Linked DNA regions of Cricetulus griseus. The protein of the gene in region 2 interacts with the protein of the main gene of each other region in a pairwise test. Links are inferred from orthologs where the notes say so. Each region holds a gene or a part of one and is shown on either strand. Other genes may lie near its edges. The genes, in order: Ift43, Lmo2, Adamtsl4, Tal2, Hnrnpm, Znf24 and Abi2.

Region 1 (3,500 bases), on a different chromosome or scaffold from region 2:
ACTGGACAGAATGGAAGAAATGCTCACAGAATAAAGCCATTTATTGAATTGGAGTGATCCAATGTGGTCTACTGAAAATAAATATTTTATTACAAAATATTCAGTATAAAAATTCTAAGCTGCTTGCAAGCTCTCTTGGTTTTAGACTTCTTCCATTTATTCAAATACACAGTGACGATGCTGGGTCATGTATACCTGGATGGTCCCACAGGGTCTTCCTTCTCTGCCCGCAGCAGGTCCCACTCCGTGAGGAGCTCTGATGACACCTCAGTGTACAGATGGTCCCAGTCCCAGCCCACATCATCCTGCCAAAATGAAGACTACTAGGTAAGAGAAAGAAAAGCCTTCCCTCCAGTCAGTGGCCAACTTCCCACCCTATCCAGGTCCAGGAAGGCACAGGCTATGTTGGGGGCTCCCTGGATGGAGGAACATTGAGGCTCAGGGCAGGAATGAGTACTGTACCTCTCGAACTTCATGCTCTGGCGCCAGCACTTTGGTGAGGAGCTTCAGGTCAATTTCTCCATCCTGCAAATGTACAAGAAGCCAGGCTGGACCCTTGGGGGCTTCAGCATCACTTTTACAACTAAGGAGAGGAGCTTGCGTGTGACAGAACTCCCCAAAATAAGACCCTAGAAAAACCTTGATCAAAACACAAATCCCCCAAGTGAATGGTATGGCCCCTGAGAAAGGAGGGGTGGCTGTGGCATCGTCCTCCACACTGGCCTCACTGGGGAAAAGCAACACCAAGAGGACAGAGCATTCCACATGGGCAGATAGCAACGGGGTGGCCGCCAGGTGGCCATGGTGTGCCAAGAGTGTGGCCAGAGAGCAGCTGGGAGTCTGGGACAGGAATCTATGGCCCATGGAGGGTCCAGGTATGCTGTGAGATGGCCAAGGATGTCACCTCCAGCATTTCTAGGCAGCCTTGGGATGTGGAGAAAGTGTGTGTATCTCTAGAAGAACTGAGGACTTTCACCCTTGGAGGTCCCCTGGAGCTGGCCCCTCTGGGCAGCAGTGAGTCCACTCACCAAAGTCTGAAAGGCTGAGTACTTCATGAGGTCATTGTCCAGGTCACGGTAGGTCATCACTCTGTTTACCTGGATGCTGAAGGAAAGGGAGTGAAAGAGCCACAGGCAGTATCGGTTCTAGGAGAGCTCCTGGGTTACCATCTCTAGAACCTTGTGTGCAGACAAAATGCCCTAGTAGAGTTTGAAGAACAGAATGGAACCCCTTGCCAGAAAGACCAGCAAGGCCCGCTGCAGATGGCGTTTGGAGTGTGTCAATGTATATGCCCTGGGCTTCCTCACCAACTTCACACTTAGCTTTACCTACCTTGGAGGGGACGCCACCTGCAGCACGAAATCTTCCTCCTGCACATCTTCCAGATCCGGGATCACTGGAATATCTGCAAGGAGAGGTGGAGCTGTTTACTGTCCACAACGTGAACAGGGCTCCTGTCTATTGCCCACTGACTGCTTAGTCAGCTTCAACACGCCAGGCCTGCCACTGTAGGCTGTGGTTTCACAGATACCCAGACAGAGTCAAACATGGAGCTCTATCCATTGCTGAGCCACAGGCCTTATCCCAGGATGCATGGAAGGAGCACTTCCTGATGGACTCTGGTACCTGTGTTTCACCTTGAGTTACATACAGTGACTCGGATGTAGTCACTAGGGAAGGGGTGTTGGGATGGATCTCCACGGAGAAATGTAAAGAATGAGAAGAAAAGCTCAGCCCCTGGAGGGGGTAGATGAGAGTGGAGCCAGGGGCGTGGGCACAGTCAGGGACAGAAAGGACGACACGCAGGTCACAAGCAGAAGTGACACACATTCGGGATCTACACATGTGCTAGCTCCAGAGAGCAGCTGTCCCGGGCAGGATCCCAGCTGCTTGCCTCTGGAGGACACTTAACTCCAGTCACAGAACCTGACTCCTGACTCCTGACACCATCAGAGATCAGGGTTGCCATTTTCCAGGCCTACTGTGACACTGGCTTTTTCTTGCAATTTTTGGGAGTTCTCTCTCTTAACTCTCCAGATATATTACACACACACACACACACACACACACACACACACACACACACACACAATGTGCAGAGATATAAAACCACTCCTCCTGCCAGTCTAGCAATGTCACACAAACAGGAGAACCAAGGGACAGGCCTGTCACTCCATTAGGGCGACCTGCTTAAGTTGCCAAAAAAGTATCCATAGAGATAGACACTTTTCCTCCAGAAGACTTCTATTGGCTTGATTAGGGGTTTTGTTTCACTCAATCAGGGCAAAGAAAAAAAAATGGTGGGGCAGAAAGAGAGGCTATGTGGGGTGAGGCAGTCTTGGGACTCTAAACCAACTGCAGATAGACGACAAAGAAAAACATCCCAGAGGGAAGGCTTGGGCTTCCATGGGCTAGATGCAGTTTTAAAGTCCCCGAACAGCTGGGGAGACTCCTGCCACTTCCAGCCTATTCATTATTTAGACATTGTGACTGCTCTAGTCAAGCTAAGCCAGAGTACATAAATGTCTTTATTACTACTTCCAACTGCAGACTTACAGACTCACTGTGCCCAGAAATGGAGAGTGAGCAAAGGACAGGGGAGACTCAGAAAAGAAGACAGGGTACCTGGGAAGAGGGCTAAAAATAAGAAGAACGTGCTAACAGGAATTGAACAAGAGACATTCAGCAAGCCCTGTATCTAAAGGGGGCCCTTCTGAGCTTGGAGTCTATCTCCCTGTCCTGTTACAAGCATAAGACTCGGAATCCCTAAGATTTCATTCCTATAATGAAGAGAAATGTAGCTTTCTTTTTCCCCTGTCCCCACAATCAGTACAGCATGCAGGTGGGGCTCCCTGGCTACAAGGCTGCACAGTCCGGCAGAGGGACGGAGAAGCTGGCTGTGTCCTGTGCCATCCACAGAGTGACAGTTTTCGAGCCAGCCAGTCAGTGCTCGCTCACTGTTGGCTCTCCTCAGCTGTGGAGTCCAGCCTGAGATGAATATTCAGGAGTTACTGAGAAATGGCCCACGCTGAGTAGGGGCTCAGGACGGGGTCTTCCCCAAGTCCCCTTTCCCTTCACAACTCCAGCATTTGGACCGTCAACTCAGCCCAGCCTCCTCAAGCTCGGAGGAATTGCACTTCTGCTCAGCGCTCACTGTCACTCCCCCTGGGCTCTCCTGGTGGGCCCCACTTCCCTCCTCCAAATGTGCACCAGGGAGTGTGGGGCCTGCCCATCTGTGACAGATCAGAGGTCAGCACAGGCCTTGGCAAAAGGCTGCTCAGAGTGGCACTGGTGGGGCTGGCCACACAGTGGGACTTCTCTCTAATTGGAAGCCTGGTGCCCAGTAGAACCCGGTGAACCGCCTGAGTGAGACAGAGCCAGCGATGACAGCCAGGCCAAGACAAGCTGGAACATTCCAGTGCAGTGACAGCTTGAGCTATTGCAGCAGAGGCAGGCCATCCAATTCCCCACTCCCAGTGGAACAGGTGGCCGTGGAGCAG
Region 2 (4,128 bases):
TCTAGAAGGTGAGTGAGTAGCAACAGAAAAAGACATGATGGTCGGAGAGCAGATAAGGGCAGGACAAGATCCCAACTCCATCTGTCTTTCCATAATTAACGATGATGTGACATTATCTCTGGTGAACAATGTAAGTGAAAGACTGAATGAGATTCACCTTAAGTTAATATTTGACTTTCTTCCACCAGCCTATCCTAAATATCAGAGTACCTCTATAGCTTTGATTTCCAGAAAAATTTCTCAACAATTTCCTAGGAAGTGGGGGGGAAATGTTCTGTTTCCACCTGGCTTGTCCATCTTCAATGACAGCCTGCCTTCACTGGGCACATATTGCAGACTATCAGTGGGCCTCTTGCTCACTATTACAGCCTTGAGATACCTTTCTGTTCTCTAGTCTCAAGGGGGGTAAAAAGGCACAAACTTTGGAAAGAAAACTTACTTTCCAAAGGGTGTTTTCTGCTCTTTCAGAGAACCCAAGTTAGAGTCTGCACCCAAAATGGGTAGCTCACAACCACCTGTAACTCCAGCTCTAGGGGATCCAGCAACTCTGGCCTGCAAGGGGTCGGGGGGGGGGGGCGCAGCACCTGCACATAGGTGCACACACACACACATGTGCACATACTTAACAATAAAATCCTTTTTAAAAAAAAAAAAAGGAGTTGAACTCTGTAGATTCAACTTCTAATAAGGGATGAGCGGCTTGGCTGTGCAGATAGGAAATCAGTAAACACCAGTTTGTCTGTCTGACTCTCTTACGTTGAGTATCATGTCTTGTCCAATCTCTGAAAACTCAGAGCTCAGAGGTAATGCTAAGTTTATTTTTAAAAGAGAACAAACTATAGACACCGACTTGCTTTTTAAAGGGTTGTTATTTTTCTCCTGAGATTTTGAGGAAGCTGGTCTTTATGTCAACAAACCTAGCTCCTTTCGGAGCTGGTGTCTTAACCTTCAAGACTGAAGAGTGATGTTTATATTCTCGCTGGATCGTGGGACTTCCTGTGTTTTATGAGAACATGCTGGGTTTTTATGCTGCTGACTGAGGGTAAAACCCAGGTAAATAAACACCACAGAAGGCTGAAATTGAAGGTGGGGGGGGGTGAGTAGGGAAACTTCAGCAGGAAGGCACAATTCTTTTAAAGCAGGAAAAGGAAAAAAAAAAGCCACCAAAACAAATGCTGCTTACAAGCACAAATGGACAAGTCATTAGCCAGCTCCTTTGGTCTTGTGTTAACAAAACCCTTCAAAGGATTAGATGGAGACTTCAAAGGAATAAAAACGCAAAACCAGACAGCTAATGACTCTTAAAAGGGCATTTGCGTGGACGCGAAAAACGATACCTTAAGCATTCCTGGCTCCCCTTATTAAGGCTAGAGAATGGGCTGAGGTATGGACAGGAATGGGGGATGTTCTTTGCAAACCAGCGCAAAGCTCAGAGCATAGACAGTGCAAGTTTATTACAGCTCTGGTTCGCTGACCCCAAACCCTTCTGGGAGTTCGATTGGATTCTGCTCCCCCCGGGGGGGGACCTAGACAAAAAACAAAACAAAACAAAACAAGCCCCCCAGCAAAACACACACACACACACACACACACACACACACACACACACACACACACAGCACTAACTTTCGAGGTTCGCATGCCCACACTAGAAGACTCGTGGGAGGGGCGAATATGTACCCGGAGGAACTCGGAATTAGCTATTCTAGAAGTCTCTGGAGGCCTGAACCAGTTCCCAGGTGGACAGGCGGACCCCATCAGTGCCCGCAGTCGCTCTGCCCCGGGCTGGGTAGAAGACTGTCTGGGACCCCAAAGGGGAGTGTCTCCCCTTTTCAGGGCCAAATGGACAAAGAGAAAGGGAACCCGGTGGAGCGAGAAGGGAGGAGGGAGAATCCTTCCATCCACTCTCCCTGCACATCACCTGCGCCTCCGGGCTCCAGGTGCCTGCTCCTGGGCAAACTTTCTGGCGCCGGTGAAGGTTTGGAGTGTTTTCCAGGTAGCCTGGAGCGGCTCGCAGGGTCGCCGGGCCGATCCCTGGTACTGCTTCCGCCACCCAGTCCTTCTCGGTGTCTCCAGAGTCACCCGAGAAGCAGGGAGAGCCCCTGAGACACCGAGGGACCAAGGGCACGCTGCGGGAGCGGACCTGAAGCCAGCCCCTCGCTCCAAGCCTGGAACCGGGTGGGGTGGGGGAGGTGGGGGCGCGGGGACAGAAGCGCCACACTTACTCAGACGGGTCCAGGCTCTTCCTTTCGATGGCCGAGGACATTGGGGAGGGAGGCGGCGTGCCGGGTGGCGGGGGCGCTCCCTTTGTGGCGCGTGCCTGACCGGCTGCCTGGACTCGGACCCCCTCGGGTGCTCGGGCGCCGCCGCTCCTGCGCCTCCTCTTGCTCGGTCGCTCCGCCGGCGAGCTCGCCCCTCCACGCTCAAGGACAGTCACCGCGCTCCCTTCAAACGCCAAAGAGAGAGAGCGAATCAGCCGGCTGCCCGGCGCGCGGCGGCCGAGGTAGGGGGCCGGGGAGCAGCCCGGCCTCCCTCTGGCGGCTGCGGCAGCTGCCGCTGCCCAGGACTTAACCTTCCATCCCGGTCCGCTGCCGTCACCACAGCCGCCGCCGCCGCCCGGTCCCGATCGCGCGCAGTCGCAGGCTCCGCCCGGTCGCCCCGAGCCCCTCACACCTTCGTCGGGGTCGGGGCGCCGAGGGCAGAGAGGGGGCGGCGGCCTGGGGGCGGGGAGCGGACCGCGCGGCTGTCCCCGGGCTCCCTCCTCTCTCGCGAAGGTCTATTTTCGCTCAGCTTCCCTCTGTCTCTGGTTTCATTTCCTTTTTCCTGATCACGATTCAAATACAATAGAAGGAAATCACATTTAAAGAGACAGCTGCCCGCCCCCTCCCCTTTTTTTCTTCCTTTTTTTTTTTTTTTTTTTTTTAAACGGGGCTCCTGGGGATTAGCAATCCAAACAGCAGCAGCAGTAGCAGCAGCAGCAACAGCAGCAGCAGCACTGACTTAGCTTCTTAAAGGGGCCCGCGTCGGAGAGTCTCCCCTGAGTACCTCTCCAGGGGCAAGAAGCCGGGCTGCCACTAATTCGTCCTTTCCAGGGTTCCCCTTCTTCTGCCTTTCCCTTTTGGCTTCCCGCGGGAAAGAAAATACAAGAATGTGAAATAAGCACCTGCAGAAATGTAAGCGTTCCTAGTGGCTGGCTCTCGCGCGCTCGTCTTAGGTTCTAGGTCCCAGGTCCACTGTCGCGGTGCTCTGGGATGCCCGGGACAGCAGCGCGGCTCTATTGGCGGCTAGCTAGCGGCTGCGACTGCGCTCCAAACAGGGGATGCGAGCTGTGCGATCAGGCACCTCACGCGCCGGGTGCGCCTGAGCAGTACTGGGGGCAGCTAATCCCGCGGGGAGGGTGGCTGGGAGGGACCACACTGTCCGGGTCTCCTCTCCATCTGCTGGCCACAGAATTCCCTCCCTCAGCATCTTTCAAAGAGCGGACTCCAGCGGTTAGGCTTGCCCTCTCTGTAAAGTGCCAGCAATACTCGGAAGTGCCTTCCCAATAATCAAGGACCTTACAGTTATTACTTGCTTTTTTTTTTTTTGCCCTATGTAAATCAAAGAAAAGGACAGGCTTGATCTAGGGTTCAGTCTTCTCCTTCAAGCTCGAAAGCAAGTTCTATAAGGAGAAAGAAATGCAAAAGGGAAGAAGAGGACACTAGCTAGCTACTTTTCCAGGGAGAAAAACCGTGGCTTCCCCTGGGCCTTGACTTATTTGAAACTGGCTTCAGAAATGATCGTTCAAGGCTCGTTAGTTTACGATGATGCCAGTCTTGAGGCTTGTAAAAAGGAAACTCCCAAGTGCTTTCACAATCCATTGTTTTATCAAGGTCACAGGCATTTCAAACCCATTATAAAGATTCTTTTGTAGCCTAGATCAACTCACCCTGGAATATGCCTGCTGAAGCCAGAAGTGAATTCCTGGATGCTTAATGTCCAAATCCACATTGATTTCTCACTAGTAATAACCTGACTCACAACATACAGATTCATGTCACTTTCTGTCTCCATGTCCTGAAATTTGTGAACTGAAAGAGGATAATTAAAATCTGTGTCTGTATGCATGCCCTTGTGTTGGTCCAAAAC
Region 3 (3,500 bases), on a different chromosome or scaffold from region 2:
AGCGCACCCCCTGCCCTGCTTGACAAGTGAGATGTTCTGTGAGCTCCTCCAAGCATAGCCATGTCTGGTGGGATCCTTCCTACAACACACCCCTTGCTGGACAGCAAGAACCTTCCCTTTGGCCACCTCAGTCTGGTGTTTTCACTGTTGTAATAATGAATTAAAGGAGGGTGTGTGTGTGCGTGCCCATGTGCAAACCAACACCCTGCCCTCCTCACCAGCACCCTGCCCTCCTCACCAGCACCCTGCCCTCCTCACCAGCACCCTGCCCTCCCTCACCAGCACCCTGCCCTCCTCACCAGCACCCTGCCCCGCTCACCAGCACCCTGCCCTCCTCACCAGCACCCTGCCCTCCTCACCAGCACCCTGCCCTCCTCACCAGCGTCCTGCCCTCCTCACCAGCACCCTGCCCCTCTCACCAGCGTCCTGCCCCTCTCACCAGTGTCCTACCCCCTCACCAGCACCCTGCCCTCCTCACCAGCACCCTGCCCTCCTCACCAGCACCCTGCCCTCCTCACCAGCACCCTGCCCTCCCTCACCAGCACCCTGCCCTCCTCACCAGCACCCTGCCCTCCTCACCAGCATCCTGCCCTCCTCACCAGCACCCTGTCCCCCTTCACCAGCACCCTGCCCTCCCTCACCAGCGTCCTGCCCCTCTCACCAGTGTCCTACCCCCCTCACCAGCACCCTGCACCCCCCTCACCAGGCAGCGTCCTGCCACACAAATGTCTAGGGATCCAGGCTGACACAAGGTCCCATCCTGGACCTTTTCGGTGTGATGGACATAGAATCGGAAGCCCCGGGGGCGGCAGTTCAGTTCACAGCGCTGGGAACCCTGAACTAAGGGATGAGATATAGGATAGTTAGCTGGGGTCCCTGAAGGAGGAAGCCCTGGCAGCATTCTGCCTTTATGGCATGTGGAGCACCCTGAAACTGCTGTGGAGGAAGAGGCTGGGAGGGGGGGTGTTCCCACGCTTAGGGTTTTTATTATGCTGTGTGGTCTCAAACTTATGAATTTTACTGATTCTCTCACCTTATTTTCCTAAAAGGGGGAAGTTCTGCACTTGGCCATCAAGAAGGTTTGTTTTTTTGTTTTTTGACTGTGTGTGTATGTGTGTTTTTTTTTGTTGTTGTTGTTGTTTGTTCCTTGTTTGTTTTTTGGTGGTGTTGTTGTCTTATTTTAAGTGTGTACAGGAATGGTCAGTCATGTATGAGTCAGAGAACATCTTGCAGGTGTAGGTTCTCTCCTTCCATGATAGGTCTGGAGACCAAACTTGGGTCATTAGGCTTGAGGCAATCTCCTTTTGCCCACTGAGCCATCCTGCCTTTCCTTAAAAGGGTTCTTGACACCTGTGATTATGAGTTCATAACCCATGAAGGTTTGTCTTGGTGTCAAGCTGACATGGACCCAAGTCCAAGTGGACAGTAACTTGGGAGCAACTGTTATGATACCATAAAGATAGTAGCTCTCTGTTGGAACCAGTGAACCAGTCATGTTCACACCCGCTCCCGGATCACAGCCAAAGGGCACCTCTAGACAGCCCCCTCTCCCAGCCCGTCTCCTGTCCTGACCACCCACCCATCATTTTCTGAAAGCTTTTCTCCTTCTCTAGGCTGCTTTGTCTCTGATGTGTCCTGAGAATTAGGACACAGGAGGAAAAGAGGGGCCACCCAAACTTGAGTCAACCCTGCCAGGGGGACTAGAAACTGCACCTTCAGTGAAGGGCTCCCACTGGTACAGCTGGCCCATGAATTCCTGGGAGTCAAAGGCTGCACATTGCAGGGCCCTGGGGTCTGGCTGCTCAGGAGGGCAAGGCTGAGGAGTCAGATACACAGACATCAGCGCTGGAGAGGAAACGTGGGGTGCAGGCCAGGGCTGGACTGGGGCTTGGGGACATCTCCACAGACCAAGGCTCCTGCCCTGAAGTTAGATAGACCCACCACCTTTAGCACAAGCTGAGGACTCAGGCTGGGGACCCAGAGATCTCACCTCCTGGCTGCAGGCTCTCAGCTGCTCATTTTCCCCAGAACATTTTGGAACAGGGCTACTGGGAGCAAAAAGGCTCCAGAGGGGGCTGGAATCTCTTGTCAGAGGCAGCCAGCCATCTGGGGACCTGTGAAAACTCCCTCGAGGTCTCCCGTGTCCCCTGCTCTGCTGGCCTCTACTCCGGGGGACAGAAGGGAAAGGATGAGGGTGCCGCTCTGTTCCCTGGGGACTGTTCCAACCCTGGGAAGTAGGCATTCGTGGCCCAGGGGATCCCTGGAAAGACCTACTGTCTCCAAAGAAGGACATGGGTGAAGGAATCCCTGTGTCAGAGGGAGCAGGACTGCTTCTGGGGGGCACCTCTATCTGAGTGCTTCCTGTCCTTGGGGTTTCCGCTTCGGGGGAGCGGGAGGGGGCATGCAGTTCAGGCAGCTGCATTTGAGAGCTGTGGTTTGCAGAAGCCAGTTCTGTGCTTGGAGGCTGGGATGGAAGGGCCTCTGCCCATGTAGAAGAGTTCTTGGGTTGCTCGGGTCTGCTGGGATGCCTGCGGCTCCGGTGCAGTGGCAAGGCAAAAGGCACTCTCCCATAGCCAAACATCCCTGGCTTGATAGGGTCTCGACCCCGGGACCTGAGAGGATGGTGCTGACTCAGAGTCGACTTTTAGCCTGTCTTCCCCAGTCCATGTCCTAGAAGGTCAGCCTGCAGAGGCGAAGCCCCCGTGCCCCTCCCTGTTCGGCTCTGCCCTCAGGGCCTCACCTCTGGGCCCCTGGAGTCTCCTGGGTCTTTTCTCTCCCCAGATGAGAAGCAGGACCTTGAAGAGGGCCACCCCTTCCCCGAGGCTGTGGCCTGTGCAGGGACTGGGGACCCCGGGAAACCTGGGGTCTAGAGCTCTGACCCCGGGGCCGGAGGGCTTCTGGATGTCTTGGGGGTCGGGGAGGGAGGGGTAGGCCTGGGCGCAGTTCACATGTTCGGCTCCTGCGCTGCACTCCCACCCCACAGGGCTGGGAGCAGGAGGCCCACCGGCCCCAATGTCCCCAGAGGCCCTCAGGGGCCTGGCCCTCCTCTGCTGGTGTCTGAAGAGAAGGTCCAAAGAGCTACATAGGAGAAAAGGTTAGAATTAGTGTCGAGGTTCAAGGGTTGTTAGTTGTCCAAGGTCACATGTACCGGTAGGGCTGGACTCCAGCCTTGTGTGTGTGTGTGTGTGTGTGTGTGTCTGTGCGCGCGCGCGCGCGTGTGTATGTTCTTTGACTAAAAGAGAGGAAATTGGCAAGGGAGATGGGTGGGCCAAGCCTGGTACACAGGGCTGAAGTCTCCCGTGGGAATGTGAAGCCTCCCGATAGGGCAGGCTAGGGTAGAGTGGAGGGACCCTGAGCAGGGTAGCAGCCGATCACTTAGCTAGGGCTCACCTCCTGATTCCGGCAGAGCTGAAGAAGAGGCAGAAACAGCATTACACATAACCAGAGCCTGCACACCAAGGGGGTGGGGGACTTTAGAGGGAGCCAGAAGTGTTACAACA
Region 4 (3,866 bases), on a different chromosome or scaffold from region 2:
GGAAACAGCAGGAATGAAAAGGTAGAGTGGGTTAACAATAGCATCACTGTTTGGAGGATGCAGAGGGGTTAAGTGCCCTGGGAAGCTGAGGCTGGAGCCAGCAGCAAGTGACAGCAGTGAGCTGGGAAGACCAGGCTGCCTAGGGCCAGGCTTTTGCTTATTTGCCACTGTATCATGAAGGTTCCCATTAAAATGCACTAATCCAGACCACTTGGGAAAAAAACGGGGGACTGTGCCTCCAAGAGTTAAAGATGGCAAAATGAGATTTCATGACAGCTTTCCTAATGTGGAAAAGGTGAGCTATGGGAGTGCCAAGAAGCCCTGGTATTTGCTGTGGATCCAAGCCACAGAGCACCTGCCCCCGTTCTTTTCATTCTTATCAGGCTGCACACCCCTCCCATGTCTGTTTTCCTAAATCTGGGTGTCACAGCCCTTTATCACCCTGCTCACAGTCTTATGAGCTACTGTGTGAACATTCTAGCTATTGGAGATTGGAGCCCAACCCTCCAGCTAAGGTCAGTTAAAACAAGGATAGCTGTCACATTTTCTCCTATTCAAATGTCCTTTTATTGATGAAAACTGGGGATGCAGCCTTTTCTCTCTTAAAAGCTCGTGACACACTGCACATTCACACTCAACACTTCCTGGGCTAAATATATACTTTATTCACACATGTATTAATTCCATACTGTAAGTGATTTTTGATCTACTGGGAAGGATAGGTTATAAAGGAAGTAGTGGAGTTGGAGATGTTACTTAGTTGGTGCTACATGACAAACATAAAGCCCTGGGTTCAATCCCCAGCATGCTTAAACGAAAAATGGTGGCACAAGCCTGAAATCCTAGCATTCAGGAGGTGAAGGTAAGAGGATCAGAAGTTCAAGGTCATCCTTTGCTGCACAGTAAGTTTGAAGCCCGCCTGGAATGCATGAGATTCAGCCTCAAAAGGAGAGGTGGGAGCAGCAGGGGAGGGACTAAATATAGTTTCATAATGGTGGCTTCAAAACAGGCTAGGGGAGGCTACAGGGACCTGTTTTTCTTTTGCACTTTCTTCTGCCATCCTTTTTTTTTTTTCTTAAAAGAGACATTTCTAAAAAACTCAAAATGGATTTCCTAAGGTCTGAGTTGAGAAGATCTAACACTGCAGAACTTGGCAGAACACGTGATTGTAACTGGACCTCTTACAAGGTCTCGGCCACCACAGCCCCTTTTCTCTCCCATCTTAGGAACCTGGACATGACCAGAAAGATCTTCACAAATACCAGGGAGCGCTGGAGGCAGCAGAGTGTCAACAGTGCCTTTGCCAAGCTGCGGAAGCTCATCCCCACTCACCCTCCAGACAAGAAGCTGAGCAAGAATGAAACGCTCCGTTTGGCAATGAGGTATATCAACTTCTTGGTCAAGGTCTTGGGAGAGCAAAGCCTACAGCAAACAGGAGTGGCTGCTCAGGGAAACATTCTGGGGCTCTTTCCCCAAGGGCCCCACCTGCCAGATGTTGATGAAAGAACTTTACTCAATGACTGTGGAGTTTCTTCCCCCGGCCCAAGCCATGAGGCTCCCTAGGGTGGCTGTGACTGTCAGCCCCCAGGACGGTACAAGTTGAAAAGTCCTGTGGTTTCATTCTGTAAAGAGGTGTGACGCAGGAAGTGATGGGGACAGAAGCTGAGAGCTGCAAGGAGACTTGAGCAATGTTGCCCTGGCCTCATTACCCCAGAACCTCAGGCAGAACAGCTAGCTGCTCTCTGTTCTATAAGTCTGCAGAAGTCCATAGCAAAAAAAGCAAACAAGCATATGTTTAAAACGGCCATCTCACTCACGACTTCAGTAACGAGGATTTCCTTATACTGGATCTCAGATGGATGGGCAAAGCTGTTGCCCTCTGAAAATACTTTTGCTTTGAAAAAGGAGACATGTTTGATTGAGGGTAAATACAAGAAATCTTAAAATTGATGGATAGAAAGATAGCCGCTGTGGAAACCAGCCTGGCAGCGGTGTGCGGCCGTCTCTGGAGGGATGTCCCTTTGGAGCAGAGCTGGGAGGATTATGTATGTGGGAAGATTCCATGTCCTTAGGCCTCTACAGAATCATGCTATTTTACTTCAGTTGAGCCGCTGGAACCAAATAGTGGATTTCATTCATTCGAGGAAAAACCTTGATGATTTAGGAGTTAGACTTCATAGTTTTCTTATAAAAATTAGCTAAAATGAGTGAGCAAACTACTTAGTGTGACTTACTGGGTACTGAACTGTTAATTCAAATTCCTGCTGACTTAGGTCCTGTATAATTCAATAATTATGAAAGCCCAAATGTTGCCATTTAATATTTTGTTGAGAGCAAACAATAGAAATAAAGGACCAGATAGATGCTAATGAACTAGTGCATTTAACTCCACCTTCCTACCTCCCAGGGAGCATTAGCCTGGTCATAAGCAGGGGCAGGGCAGCCAGCACCCAGTAAATCAGTAGAGCAGTATGGATGCTCTGTCACCACCACACACCATTCTGGTCCTCATGGACTTGGATTCAAAGAAGAATCCATTGGCTGCGCCCCACATGCAGGTGTCTATCTCTAGGACATTATATTTCCCAGAATTTTTTTGGCTTTATGATCTTCTGAGTCACAGGTGGGAAATCTACGGATTGTGGTTATGAATTTCCAGTATCTATACAACACAGGAATTTAAACGTTTTGTCTCTCTGGAAGGTATTTATAAGTAACTACATCATTAAGGTCGATTTAACCAATGCACTTTTAGCACAACAGGCTTCCCCCTATGTCCTTTGCTTAGCCTGCACTTGATTAATTTCTGCACAGAAACAGTATAGAGACAGGGAACCACAGAGGCTGGTGGAGCCCTTCCTTCCACTCCAGATATGTATGCCTTTGTCACCACCTTGGGGAGAGTCAAGCTTATCTCCAAATTACCAGGCAGTGAGATGTTTCAAAGTTTTTATGGCTGTTGTCAATTAAGTAATACTGCCCTCTCATCTGGCATTAAATAAAGTACGTTTGACAGTGACTTTACTTTTACTTAGCTTACTCGAATATGAAGAAAGCAGAGGCCCTCTGTTCCTAAAAGCAAAATTTTTGTGCTTTATACTGTACACACTCCCTTTCCTGGTGCTTTTGTGTGTGCTCAAAGAAGGCTGCCCACTGAAATGCTACAGGGACCCCAAAAAGATGTGAGTGAGGGGGAAAGTTATTTAAAGACAGCCTAGAGGAAATCCTTTCACAGATGAACCAACCTTTACAATGTTATTATATGTAATGTACTCCTTAAAGTATTTATTCAGCTTTAGCTTCCTTCCTTTCTTCCTTCAATTCTTTCTTTCTTTCTTTCTCTCTCTCTCTCTCTCTCTCTCTCTCTCTCTCTCTCTCTCTCTTTCTTTCTTTCTTTTTTCGAGACAGGATTTCTCTGTGTAGCTTTGGAGCCTGTCCTGGAACTTGCTCTGAAGATTCACCTGCCTCTGCCACCCAAGTGCTGGGACTAAAGGTGTGCACCACACACCCCCACCCCCGCTTTAATTTTCTGTATCAAGTTGAATTAAATTAACAGGACTGTCAAAAAAACAAAACCAAACCAAAAAGAAACAATAAACAGCTGTAATCACGTGTGGTCCCAAACCTAGTCGTGATATGTGTGAGATTGGAAACTAATTCAAAACTCCCTGTGTGGTTTTCTTTGGTGGTCCTAGCAATAAGACTTCATAGTTCAAATGTGTTACAGTCCACTGGATGTTACATTTGTTTAGGGGCCATTTGAGTCTAAGAGAAGAGTTAAACCAAATTTTCTGACTATGTTTCTCTGTTCTTTAAACTGAAGTGAGCATTTGATCTGCTTTGGACAGTAATGGAAATCTTTAGAA
Region 5 (4,108 bases), on a different chromosome or scaffold from region 2:
ACCAAAAAAAGAAAAAAGAAAAAAGAAAAAGCAGCTGGTGAGAAGGTTCAGTAGACATTGTGCTTACCTTATAAGCATTAAGACCCAGGTTTAATTCCTAATCAAAAAGTAGTGAGGAGGTACCCCTCCATTTTTTTTTTTGGGGGGGGGGGTTCAGAGACAGGGTTTCTCTATGGCTTTGGAGGCTGCCCTGGAACTGGCTCTTGCAGACCAGGCTGGTCTCGAACTCACAGAGATGCGCCTGCCTCTGCTTCCCGAGTGCTGGGATTAAAGGCATGCATCACCACCGCCTGGCCTCCATTCTTTTAAAGAAGAATTTTGTAACATACATAACAACAACAAAAACCCAACAAAACCAAAACTATTTTCACCCACACTACAAAACTGCTGCCACATTTCTCAAGTATCCTCCATTAACCCAGACCACTCAGGTTCTTTCCAACAAAGGCTATTTCACCTCTGAAGCTTCCTATGCATATACTGGTTGTCAAATGACCCAGTCACAAGATTTCTAGTTGAAAATGGACAGTGGAAAATTTGGAAATTGTATCACTATACTGTGTTCTATAACAAATTCAACCTTTCACCTAGAAAGGTTCAAGCAGCACTTCATCCTATAACTTTTCTTAAAGTCCTTCAAATAAATTTGGCCCTCAGAGAATCCTACAAGGTGAGCCTGAAGTGGTAGTGTATAACTTTTGATTTCGAGAAACTGGGTGGCAGCTGGGGCATCTTGTTCCAAATTCAAGGCCACCAAGGTCTACACTGTAGACTCTTTAGGCTAGCCAGGTATCTATCTCAAAGCAAACATTGGGGGAAGAGAAAGGGAATTGGACCCAACAAGGCATCTCTAAAACAAAGGCTGAAAAAAGTGAACATGAGACTGACTGGAGGTGTAGCTCACAGAGTATTATCTAGATCTCAAGACCCTAGGTTCCCAGGGGGGTGGACAGGGAAGTAAAAATGAGCACACTCAAAGGCTGAGACTTTCCATAGTAAAGTGTTGGGAACAACCAAAGGGAGGATTCTCTCTCTCTCTTTCAGTGCTGTGGAGTGGAATCCAGGGCCTTGTGAATCCTGGGCAAATACTCCTAAAGGGCTATAATATTACACGTTCATACATTTTTGTTCTGTTTGTTTTCTGCAGGCACTCATGTCGCCTGGGCAAATCTTGAACTTGCTATGTAGCCAAAACCGGAGAACTCAACCTCCCAAATGCTGAAATCACAGACATGAACCAGTTAACCAATGGTGTTTTACTTCTCCCTAAGATTAAAAAAAAGATCTGTAATTTCCTCCTGTAACAAAGTAGCCAATATTTAGCAAATGCTTTATCAACTAATGTTGCAATAAGTTCATTCCCCAGAATCTTATAGCTTCCAGTCTTACTCAGCGATATAAAGCGCTGGTCTTAGAACCAAAATGTTTCTCCATACCTCTCTCAAGTAATGGTAAATCAGTATGAGCAGAGTTCCACAGGGACGTCCCCCCCCCCCCGAAGAAAACCTTTTCTTTGGCCCGGGAAGGTCCGCCATGTGATGTGTTACTAGGGAACCAATCTAGTTAGTGTCAGGTCACCGATCTATCACTACGTTCCTAGCCCTCTTTTTAAGTTGAGATACGGTCTCCCCAATTTCCCACTGATTCAATGGCAACCTTGATTGAAACTCACTCTATATGGCCTAGTCACACTTTGCAACGTTGGAGCCTTTCGGGCTTCAGCCTCCTCCCCCTAAAGCTAGGGCTCACCAGGTCGAGCTAGGAAACTTAGAAAAACACGCTAAAGTCTCTGAACAGACCTCCAACATGATTTCGAAAATGGGATGATGAAGTCTGGCTATCCTAATTTCCGGAACCCTGAAATCCCGAAGGGATGCCTTCGCCCGCACACTTTCTACCTGTCGCTAAGGATGAAGTGTGAGTAACTAGGGAACATTTCTCCCCACTGTTACCAACTGCGCACTTGAGGAAGAAGGCAACAGAGAGAGGCGGAAGGGCTCCGGCCTAGGAGCCCGGGTCCGGGGGCCATTCTGATGGAAGAAGCCAGCACTTCCTGCGGGAGAGGTGGGTGACACCGGGGGTCTCGGAACCCCGCAACGAGGCCCGTGCCCGACACCTTCCCGGTCCCGCCGCCGTTTGCTGACGGTACACGTGAGAACCCGCGCGCGTACGCCTCCCGCCCCTAACTTGGCGGGTCTGGGAAACTGAGACAAGAACACCCCCATCGGGTTGTAATGCCGAGGGGCCGAAACCTGTGTTCACAGCCAGAGCCCAGGGAGAGGTGCAGCGAGGCTGCTCCCGCCAGCCTGCGCGCCATCGGCGCTCCCGGAGTCAAAGAGCAGGCCACGGGCCTACGGCCTCGACGACGCGCCCGGCCCGCCCGGACACTGAGGCAGCGGAGGCCGGCGCTGTCGGCAGAGGGTGACCCGTGAGGCTCTCCCGGCTTCGCCGTCGCCACCGCCTCCGCCGCCGCCGCCCCTCGGCAGGGAAAGGCCTGCGCAGACGCCGCGCCGCGCCGCTCCGCCATGGGGGAAGAGAAAGCAGCCAACACGCCTAACGGAGCTGCGAAGTAGCCCGGCCCGACTTAGAGGAGGACGGACTGACGTTACAATACTCACCCCTTCGGGCCTGGAGCTCCGTTGCCGCTCGGCACGCAGGGCGCGCCGCTCTCTTCCTCCATTTTGGGCTCTGTCGCTGCCACTTCGGCCGCCGCTTCGACCCCTGCCGCCATTTTCTCCGCGTCTGGGCTTTGTGTGAGGGAGCGAAGTGTGCAGAGCTGCGCCTGCGCACTCACGTGACCCTGCGCGACCAGTAACGCCTGCGTGTGCTGCGACCGGCTCCCGCTTCCTGCTCGCCTAGGGTCACGCCCCCTGGCCCGTCAAGCCACGCCCCCTGGCTATCAGGGCACGCCTCCCGGCGCCAGCGGGGACTGCTCCTGAGTGTAAGGACAGCCAAGTATTTCCCTTTCACACTTCTTTTTTGTTTTGTTTTTTTTTTCGTGACAGGGTTTCTCTGTGTAGCTTTGGAGCCTGTCCTGGCACTCGCTCTGGAGACCAGGCTGGCCTGGAACTCACAGTGCTGGGATTAAAGGCGTGCGCCACCACCGCCCGGCCCCTTTCACACTTGTAATGAGAGCACACATACTGACCTACTCACTCCAGCTTATTTCTTTTTTCCCCGTTTTATTCATTTTTCTTTCTTTTTTGAGACGGGGTCTCATTGTGTAGCCCTGGCTGGCTGGAAGATCCTCCAGCTCCTATCTACTAAATGCAGGAATTAAAGGTATGCACCACCACATCTGGCTATTAATTTATTTTTTTTAACAACTTCAAAAATATATATCATGTATTTTGAGTTTGCTTGGGACTGGGGAGGGGCTGCTTTTTGAGACAGGGTTTCTGTGTGTAATCCCTGTCTGTCCTGGCATTCACTCTGTAGACCAGACTGGCCTCAAATTCAAGAGATCTGCCTACCTCTGCCTCCCAAGTGCTAGAATTAAAGGCTTGTGCCACCAACGCATTTTTTTTTTTTTTTGAGACAGGGTTTCTAACCAATGCTGGCCTTGAACTCTGTGTAGCAGAATCTAGTTTTGAATGTCTGCTGAGCTGCCCACCTCCACATCCTGAGTGCTGGAATGATAGACTAGAGGAACGTGCTCTGTTTGTTCAGTGTTAGAGATGGAACCCAGGGACTCTACTAGCTTCAATCTCTGACCCTATACTGTATTTTCATCATAGTCACCTTCAGTTACCATCTTATCCCCCCTCCCACTGAACCTTCTTTCCAACAAGTTTCCCACTTCCATGTCATTGTTTTGTGACCTTCTGAGTTAGGATTGCTTACATATGCATAGGTGTGGGGTTTATTTACTTGAGCATGGACAACTGAACAGTGGCCACACCACAGAAGCAAATGACACCTCCTTTCTCCAGCAACGACTGCCAGTAGGTCCTCAGAGAGCCTATCGCCCAACCGTGATGGAATGCTAAGGGTCCTATCTTATGCCAGTAACCACCCCCGCTATAATTTCATGGGTGGCAACAGCCATGTCATGTCAAGGAGACATCAGCTTTCTTTAAATGGAAATAGGACAGAAAGAAAATGAAAG
Region 6 (4,208 bases), on a different chromosome or scaffold from region 2:
GCTGCCAATTACACTATCCATAGTGTAAAAATTTAAATGGCTAAAAAGCATAGAAACATTTCATGATAGGAAAATATGATGTATCAGTCTAGGGTCAACAGTCATTCAGCTGGCAAAGGTACCCTCGATCAAGCCTGATGACTTGAGTCTGATAACCAGCATGTACATAGGAGAGAACTTTACTTCTGCAAGGTGTTCTCTGGTCTCCACAAGTGTGGCATTGCACGTGCATGCCTACACACATACACAAAATGTAAAAATATTTTTAAAAATTGTAATGGTTTATTTTATGTGCATTGGTTTTTGCCTATAAGGGTGTCTGTGTGAGGGTGCTGGTACCCCTGGAACAAAGTTACAGACATTGGGAATGGCCATATGGGTGTTGAGAATTGAACTTGGGTCCTCTTGAAAAGCAGCCAGTGCTCTTAACTACTGAGCCATCTCTCCAGCCCCATAATATTTTTTAAATTTGTTGTTTATAAATCATTAAATTTAATCATGGTTCAGGCTATAAAGGTATCACTGATAGGGTTCAACAATTTCTGCTAAGATCTAAAACAACTTAGGATTTATTTACAACCTGGCCCTTTCCAGCGAAAGACTGTCAGTCTGTGACATATAGTAACAAAAGGCAATTAAATAGCCTAAAGAACCCATGTAAGAATCAACCTATCGAAGTGCTCTCCAAATGTTCTGAACCCTTGGGTTCTGCAAGTAAGAATGCTCGCTGTCCTTGCAGAGGACCCAGGTTTTATTCCCAGCACTACAAACACTCTTCTGACCTCCTTAGGCACCAGGAAGACACGTGGTATACACATACATAAAATAAGAAACTAAATATTCAGAACTGTGGGACTCAAAACTTTGACATTTATTTTGTGTTTATACATCTCCGCACAGGTGTGGGAGTCAGAGGACAAGATGCAGAAACTTGTTCCCTCCTCCTGCTTTGTGGAATCTGGGATCCAATACAGGTTGTCAGGCTTGGAGCAAGCCCCCTACCTAATGAGCTACCTAGCCCGCCCAACTTTTCATTTTGTTTTTGCAAGTCTGGAGTAGGAACCAGGTAAACTGCCTCCCCACCCCTGGGGTTAGAGACTGTATTCAAGGCCAATGCACACTCACGGGCATACACACACACACACACACACACACACACACACACACACACACACACACCACGCACGCACGCACGCACGCACGCGTGCGCGCACTGCTTTGAAGTTAAAAAAACAAAACTGAGGTGTTTAGGAACTTCCTAAACAAAATAAATGTGAAAAATGTTCACTAGTAGCTGGGTATGGTGTCCTAAACCTGTAATCCCAGTACCTAGGTAGAATAAGACTATCCTCATCTACATAGCAAAAACAACTGGGCTGTTAGATCTTGTCACAGATTCACTTTGACACAGTTCACATAACGCTGGAGAAGAAACTATTGCACATAACATGCAAATGTTATTTAGGCATCCACCACCATACATGCATTTAAACTTACTGTGACAGTTAATCAACTGCAGCAAATTCTATTAGGAAAAAGCACTCACAACTTCTCATAATGGCCCAGAGTCTTTTTCCTTAAGTAGCTTCCCCTAGCTTTTCCTTTGGGGAAATCTGTGAGCTACTTTCTGATCCTTTTAGTATTTGCAAAATCATACTGGTGCCATGGTTCACAGCACATTAAGAATAATAAGCTTAGCTAGGCGGTGATGGCACATGCCTTTAACCCCAGCACTTGGAAGGCAAAAGGCAAGCGGATCTCTGAGTTCGAAGCCAGCCTGGTCTACAGAGCCAGTACCAGGGCAGACAGGACTACACAGAGAAACCCTGTCTGGAAAAACAAAACAAAACAAATGAACGGAACAATACGCTTTACAGCTACTGTTTATTTATCAGAGCCAAGAATATTAAAAACACACACACACACAAAACACAGAAACTTAAGAAAATCTTATTGAAACCTGTCAAGAGGAAGACAATCAAAAAATACTGTATCAAACAGACAGACCATATAGATCCATAAATATTCTTGAGTGGGATGATGGCCTGCTAGCAAAATCCAGGTTATTTATTCCTATTCCTGGACCAGACCCTATCAACGGCTCAAGCATTTCTACGTAATAGAAATTGCTTTTTCTTCTATTTTGTACTGCACCAGGCTCATGAGACGAGGAGAAACGCCGTCAAGCACTTGGCGGGATCCTGGTCTTCAACGACCTCCCGCCTCACAGCGCCGAGCCCAGCCAGCCCCAGTAATCCCCGCTGATGTCCTCTTCCCAGCATCCACCGCGAAGGGCCGCAGAGGCCCCAGAACACCCGTCTCCACACAGGACGGGCACTTCCGCCCTAGACCGGCGGGACTACAAATCCCAGAAGGCCGTGCGCGAGAACCACGGATCCCACCTCGGTTTAAGCGACTCCCAGAACGCTCCGCGAGCGGACAGAGCCTCGAAATAGAACAAAACCGGTCGGTGGGGGAGGGGAGGACATATCGGCGAGGACGCGGGCGCGAGAGGCTCGGCGGACTCCCGAAGCGCGGCAGGCCGCCGTCGCCGCCCTTCCGCCGCGGCCTTCTCCGCGCACGCCCGAGACGCCGAACGACGCCGGGCCCTCGGCCGCCGCGCCCCGACCCGCGCCCCCTCCTCGAACCCTGCCCCCGCACGCCGCTGACCTCCGTCTCGGGACCCACCGCAGCCTCGCCGTCCCGGGCAGACGCTGCACCGTCGCTTACAGCCTCTTCCCACAAGCCCCCGGCGCGCACGGCTTCCGGTCCGCAGGACGGGGGGCGGGGGTGGGGGGCAGGCGAAGCCCCGAGTTGCCATGGGGACGCGCGGCAAGCGGGGGAGGTGCGGCTTGATGACAATGGCCGTATTGAAGCCGAGCTTGGCCTTGCGCCTCTGCCAGAGTGGGCGCTGAGCTCTGTTCCACTTCACAAAAAAGGAAAGGGGAGTTAGAGGAAGGTAGTTGGCAGTTTCACGAGTGTCCCGTGCTCCCCGTAGGAACCCTCTGGAGTAACTAACGAAAGTGAACATTTCTGAAAGCCTGTCACAGTCGTGCTAGGCACACACAGCCTCTGTGCTCTGCGTATAAATAATTCCCTTTACCCCCACATCCTATAGTGCAGGAACTTGTAGTCCCGCTTCAGGGCCGACATCTCATTATAAGTAGGAAGTCAGGTTTGCACTTAAACATGGCTCAGACTGTTGCCTCCCACTAGCTGTGTTAACAAAGATTATAACAAGTCATCAAACAAGATGAGGCTAGTTGAGAACTTTGGGAATTTGCACAATCTGAGCATACTGGGTATTTCATGTCAAAAAGCAGCTGCAGTCATAATCAGTCAGACCACCTCATTCCTCTAAAGTCCTCCGGTGCATTACAACTACCGGAACTATGACACTAAAAATTTGTTAAATTGTCCTGCAGTTCGTCTATGGTCTGTTGCCTGCTTTTTCCCTCTGGCTATGTCTCCAGCTTATTGTGGAGCCTCAGCCTCACTGACCAACCCTCTTTCAGGTGGTCTCCATATGCTTAGGGGCACTCTTAGAATTGTGCTTTGAAAGTCCAGTAAAGGTGGAGTCGTCTCTGTCCTCTCTGTCCTGGTTATGACAGTACCCCCACCTAGTTTCAGGATGCCAGCTGGCATATAGAAAACTCAATAAGTACAAAGTTTTCTTTGAATAAATGAATGAATTGTGGGCTGTCGACATTGCAGCCTTTGCTAGGTCACATGTCAAGTCTCAGAAATGGCACAAAAGAGCCCTGTTTTGGAAAGTTTTGTTGGAGCATAGGTCAAGCCTTGCAAAACATTGAAAAGGTCCTCAAGCTTTGCCTTATTGTCTCATTCAGGAAAGGGTCTCTGCAAGTGTCCAGAGCCTCTGTTGGGTCAGTGAATGAGCAGTAAACAAGCAGCTGACCAAACAGCAAGCCATTTCATTCCAGCCAGAGCTCACCTTCCCATAACCCCTGCTAACTCCTTTCTTCACTGGGAGGCTTTATCCAGCATTTCACTGTCCCATTTGGCCTCACCCAGGCTCCAGCTTGGCTACTCTCTTTTGTGACTCCTAAGAGCTCTTCACCCCTCCTCCGTCTTTCCTATGAGAAGTCCATCGGGCTCTTCCAGGATTTGTAGAAGGCATGTTGATGACTCCTTTAACTTTGCAATCATTTTGCCTGGCAATACCCCAGGGCTATAAGGCTTAATCCCAA
Region 7 (3,500 bases), on a different chromosome or scaffold from region 2:
AGAAGACAGTTGGATAGTAAGTGGGGAAGTTTTTTGTTTGTTTGTTTGTTTTTTTGTTTTTTAAATCAGACACAGTGAGCATTCAGATTTTGAAACTGACCTTGAAGACTATTAGAATATTTTCTTCAAAAGTTGGACTTCAAAGTTGAATATAATTACGGAATTAGTCATTAGTTTTTTACCAGTAATTAGTGAAAGCTGTGAGGTTTGTAGAAACATCAAAAAATATTTCATGGGTAGAAGTAGTGTTTTAATTTAAGTTATTTAAGTACTTGGATCACAGAGGTGTTCAGAACTTTGGTTATGTGGACAATTGTAAAACATTGTCATAGCAGCACTGTTACTATGTTAAAACCTCTCCTAATTTGGCTCCTATCATAACTGATTGTTGAGTCTCTTTCCTTCAGTTCCTCCTTTCTCCCTGTGTGTGAGGTATGCTAGGACTAGCTTAGCAGTTGTAGCAAGGCTTATACATTCAAAGGAATGTTATTTTCTTCAAAACATGCACCTTGGAAGATGTGTATCTTTGTTTTAGATTCATCTTACGGCTTTCTAGGCATTAGTTTAGAGATAGTCTATGGAACTAATTTTTTTTGCATTAAATTTAATATGTGGAAGAGTCTGGAATCACTTGGAATATTTATTATTTACTTTATTAAACCACTTACACTGTGATAAAATGCACAATTATACCCCTGTTATTATTATTTTTAATTCTCATGTGGCCCCTTGTTACTCATTGAGTAGAGCCCAAACTTAGCAAACCCTTTTGTCCCGAGACCTTTAGGCTTCCTCTGCCTGCCCAACTTTGGATGATTCTTTGAAAATTTCCTTCCTGCTTTATCTCTGTACTTCGAAAAAGCATTTTTATTCTTTACAACCAACCTGAACGTCTATTCCTCATGCCCTACTACCTCCCAGCCATTAACTTGACTCATTCATCAGGTCTCAGGAAGCCTTTTCTGGTCCACATAAAGAATTTGGTCTATGACGTACGCTTCTATAATTTCTTAAAGTTTCACTCTACTTAATTATATCAAAATTTGGTTGGTTGCATGTTGCTGACACTTGCCCACCATATTGTTGGTGACATTTGCCCACCACACTCTTCTCAGTGCAGGAACTAGGTCCTAGCCACATGAGGCTCTTGGGTGTTATTTACTTAGTGGTGATGAAGTATTCCTTAAGAGCTACAACTTTTATCTTCTAGTATAGTGTGGCTTCTAAGGTAATGCGCAGAGGGGAGTGCTCGGGTGCTCTTCTGTCTGTTGCTATAGGAACATTTATCTTCTTTTCACATCCATAAAACTAAGTTTAAAAACAAGACCGTGGCTTGGGGGTATAGTTTGGAGGGTTTGTGTAGAATGTGTAAGGATCTTGATTGAGCCCTATAGTCACAAAAAAGTAAAAATGAGTTGTCTTAGGGAAAGATGAACTAAAAGAATGTATTTTAAAGTACCAGCTGGATAACTGATATACTGCACAAGTAAAAACAGTCTGGCTCTGAGGCAGTTATAAGGAAGGCAGAAATGATCAGGGTTGGAATTTTGAGTAATTTATAGTGTAATTTCTCTGATTTTCCTGAAAATCCCTTGTATCTATTTCTGTGCTCTCAGTCTCTTCATATGAACACAGGTTTCACTATTGCTTTCACCCCGTTCGATGAAAAACATTAAATTTGAATAAAGAATATAGTAAGAACATGGATTTGTGTTACATTTTTAAGAAGACAAACAAACAAAACTAAAAAAATTCTAAGACAGCAATGCTTGAAGTAGCAGAGCACAGTGTTGGTGCCCTGACTGCTCAGAGTTTATTTCATGCGCACAATTCTGTAAGAGTGAGTCCTGATGATTAAAACTGAGGTCAGTGCAAATTTATTTTTGCTTTGTTGTGTTCAAGTATTTACCAAGCATTTTGACAGCTTTGAGTTCTCTGGGTTTGGAGACGATTTTTTTACATGTTACAATACGATGAGACTGATTCTAATAATACATATGGACATATAGTCTCAAGAAATTTAAATAATGACTAAACCTGAATTAGTTCAAATTCCACAAGCAAACAAACATTGTAATGACTGAAGTTACCCCAGTTTGATGTAACTCTGTTTAATGAAAATCAGGCTGGTGTTGTGGTGAATCCTGATAATCCTAGCACTTGGGGTTGAGGAGGAAGGTTGTGAGTTTGAGGCTAGTTTGGGTTATATAATGCGAACTTGTCTGAGTAAATATACAGAAAACTGAGACTAAAGTAGCAGATTGTAAAAATTTGACTATTTCTTTGACTCATTTTAGTTTTTCCTTAAAGATTTGTCTATTTACTATGTATACAGTGTTCTGTCTGCATGTATTCCTGCAGGCCAGAAGAGGGCACAAGATCTCACTGTAGGTGGTTGTGAGCTACTACATGATTGCTGAGAACTGAACTCAGGACCTATGGAAGAACAGCCAGTACTCTTAACCCCTGAGCCATCTTCCAGTCCCCATCATTTTACTTTCTTATGTGATTGTGATTACTCAAGTTATTAATATCTCTGATAATTCTTTGATAATGAAACCCAACTATATTGTACTCATTTCTTTAGAAAGATAATCAGTATTTATAGGGCTTATGTGTTATTACTGAAAGGTTCTGGAGGCCAATTAACAGTAAAGTTTTGGACTAAACCGCACTCAACATCCATCAACACTTAACCCAAAAGGGAGGGAGAAGTCTTGCTTGGCAATTGAAAACATAATGGTGGGAAAATTCCTCTTAGCATTCAGTTTTTGAAAGATGATTATTTTTGAGTCTGGGTTTATATTTAATGAATCAGGAAGCTCAGATAAATATTGAACTCTACATACTATATAGTTTGTCAGCTTGATAAACTCTTAGTTTCAGATACACCACCTCCACCACCACCTGTGGAAGAGCCAGTCTTTGATGAATCCCCGCCTCCACCGCCACCTCCAGAGGATTATGAAGAGGAGGAAGCAGCTGTGGTTGAGTACAGTGATCCTTATGCTGAAGAGGACCCACCATGGGCTCCAAGGTCTTACTTGGAAAAGGGTAAGTGTCATGAGGTCGTCTGGAGGGATGAGAAGACATCTGTAAATAGAAATGAGACTTGCTGGTAAAGCTTTATTTGTATTATCTGTTCCATTTTAGTTATTCAGTCAGTTTATAGGGCTTATGATTTTGAAAATATGATTTTGATATGGTAAAATTTTATGTCTATCTGTTACTATTGAACTTGCTTTTCACAAATTATATGACACAAAAATAAAAAACAAGTGGACTTTTTTTTTGGAATCCCCAGGAAGAGGATTATTTTTCCAAATTATTTGTATCGCTGCACTTTCTTCCATCATCATCAGCATTATTGGAAGCAGCCTTACCAGGTTAGCCCAGGTTGGCTTCTAACTTTTGTTACTTGTACCTCATACTGGGGTTACAGGTGTGTATCACTGTGCTGAACTGTCAGTTAATTTTGAGTTGTTTTTACATGTTCAAGT

The links.
Region 1: the proteins of Lmo2 (region 2) and Ift43 interact in binary tests that used the Homo sapiens proteins (3 or more experiments, as listed by UniProt). The two-hybrid records come from large-scale screens. The link is inferred for Cricetulus griseus from reciprocal best matches to the Homo sapiens genes LMO2 and IFT43.
Region 3: the proteins of Lmo2 (region 2) and Adamtsl4 interact in binary tests that used the Homo sapiens proteins (3 or more experiments, as listed by UniProt). The two-hybrid records come from large-scale screens. The link is inferred for Cricetulus griseus from reciprocal best matches to the Homo sapiens genes LMO2 and ADAMTSL4.
Region 4: the proteins of Lmo2 (region 2) and Tal2 interact in a two-hybrid assay, tested with the Homo sapiens proteins (2 studies listed by BioGRID and IntAct). The link is inferred for Cricetulus griseus from reciprocal best matches to the Homo sapiens genes LMO2 and TAL2.
Region 5: the proteins of Lmo2 (region 2) and Hnrnpm interact in binary tests that used the Homo sapiens proteins (3 or more experiments, as listed by UniProt). The link is inferred for Cricetulus griseus from reciprocal best matches to the Homo sapiens genes LMO2 and HNRNPM.
Region 6: the proteins of Lmo2 (region 2) and Znf24 interact in binary tests that used the Homo sapiens proteins (3 or more experiments, as listed by UniProt). The two-hybrid records come from large-scale screens. The link is inferred for Cricetulus griseus from reciprocal best matches to the Homo sapiens genes LMO2 and ZNF24.
Region 7: the proteins of Lmo2 (region 2) and Abi2 interact in binary tests that used the Homo sapiens proteins (3 or more experiments, as listed by UniProt). The link is inferred for Cricetulus griseus from reciprocal best matches to the Homo sapiens genes LMO2 and ABI2.

Annotation. Positions count from the first base shown.
Region 1 is NC_048598.1:117,642,464-117,645,963, forward strand, and holds the end of Ift43 (intraflagellar transport protein 43 homolog), read right to left. Parts: intron 1,406-3,500; coding exon 1,333-1,405; intron 1,105-1,332; coding exon 1,029-1,104; intron 526-1,028; coding exon 463-525; intron 306-462; coding exon 186-305; 3' UTR 24-185; downstream 1-23. UniProt on the Homo sapiens protein: As a component of IFT complex A (IFT-A), a complex required for retrograde ciliary transport and entry into cilia of G protein-coupled receptors (GPCRs), it is involved in ciliogenesis.
Region 2 is NC_048599.1:73,666,554-73,670,681, forward strand, and holds the start of Lmo2 (rhombotin-2), read right to left. Parts: upstream 2,801-4,128; 5' UTR 2,580-2,800; coding exon 2,573-2,579; intron 2,446-2,572; coding exon 2,226-2,445; intron 1-2,225. UniProt on the Homo sapiens protein: Acts with TAL1/SCL to regulate red blood cell development. Also acts with LDB1 to maintain erythroid precursors in an immature state.
Region 3 is NW_023276806.1:60,821,259-60,824,758, reverse strand, and holds part of Adamtsl4 (ADAMTS-like protein 4), read right to left. Parts: intron 3,449-3,500; coding exon 3,391-3,448; intron 3,079-3,390; coding exon 2,741-3,078; intron 2,613-2,740; coding exon 1,991-2,612; intron 1,817-1,990; coding exon 1,714-1,816; intron 841-1,713; coding exon 704-840; intron 1-703. UniProt on the Homo sapiens protein: Positive regulation of apoptosis. May facilitate FBN1 microfibril biogenesis.
Region 4 is NC_048595.1:90,008,382-90,012,247, reverse strand, and holds Tal2 (T-cell acute lymphocytic leukemia protein 2), read left to right. Parts: upstream 1-1,158; 5' UTR 1,159-1,236; coding exon 1,237-1,563; 3' UTR 1,564-3,366; downstream 3,367-3,866.
Region 5 is NC_048598.1:95,278,598-95,282,705, reverse strand, and holds the start of Hnrnpm (heterogeneous nuclear ribonucleoprotein M), read right to left. Parts: upstream 2,801-4,108; 5' UTR 2,732-2,800; coding exon 2,619-2,731; intron 1-2,618. UniProt on the Homo sapiens protein: Pre-mRNA binding protein in vivo, binds avidly to poly(G) and poly(U) RNA homopolymers in vitro. Involved in splicing.
Region 6 is NC_048595.1:213,152,838-213,157,045, reverse strand, and holds the start of Znf24 (zinc finger protein 24), read right to left. Parts: upstream 2,801-4,208; 5' UTR 2,671-2,800; intron 2,538-2,670; exon of another isoform or gene 2,403-2,537; intron 2,305-2,402; exon of another isoform or gene 2,155-2,304; intron 2,149-2,154; exon of another isoform or gene 2,008-2,148; intron 1-2,007. UniProt on the Homo sapiens protein: Transcription factor required for myelination of differentiated oligodendrocytes. Required for the conversion of oligodendrocytes from the premyelinating to the myelinating state.
Region 7 is NC_048595.1:414,707,313-414,710,812, forward strand, and holds part of Abi2 (abl interactor 2), read left to right. Parts: intron 1-2,880; coding exon 2,881-3,054; intron 3,055-3,500. UniProt on the Homo sapiens protein: Regulator of actin cytoskeleton dynamics underlying cell motility and adhesion. Functions as a component of the WAVE complex, which activates actin nucleating machinery Arp2/3 to drive lamellipodia formation.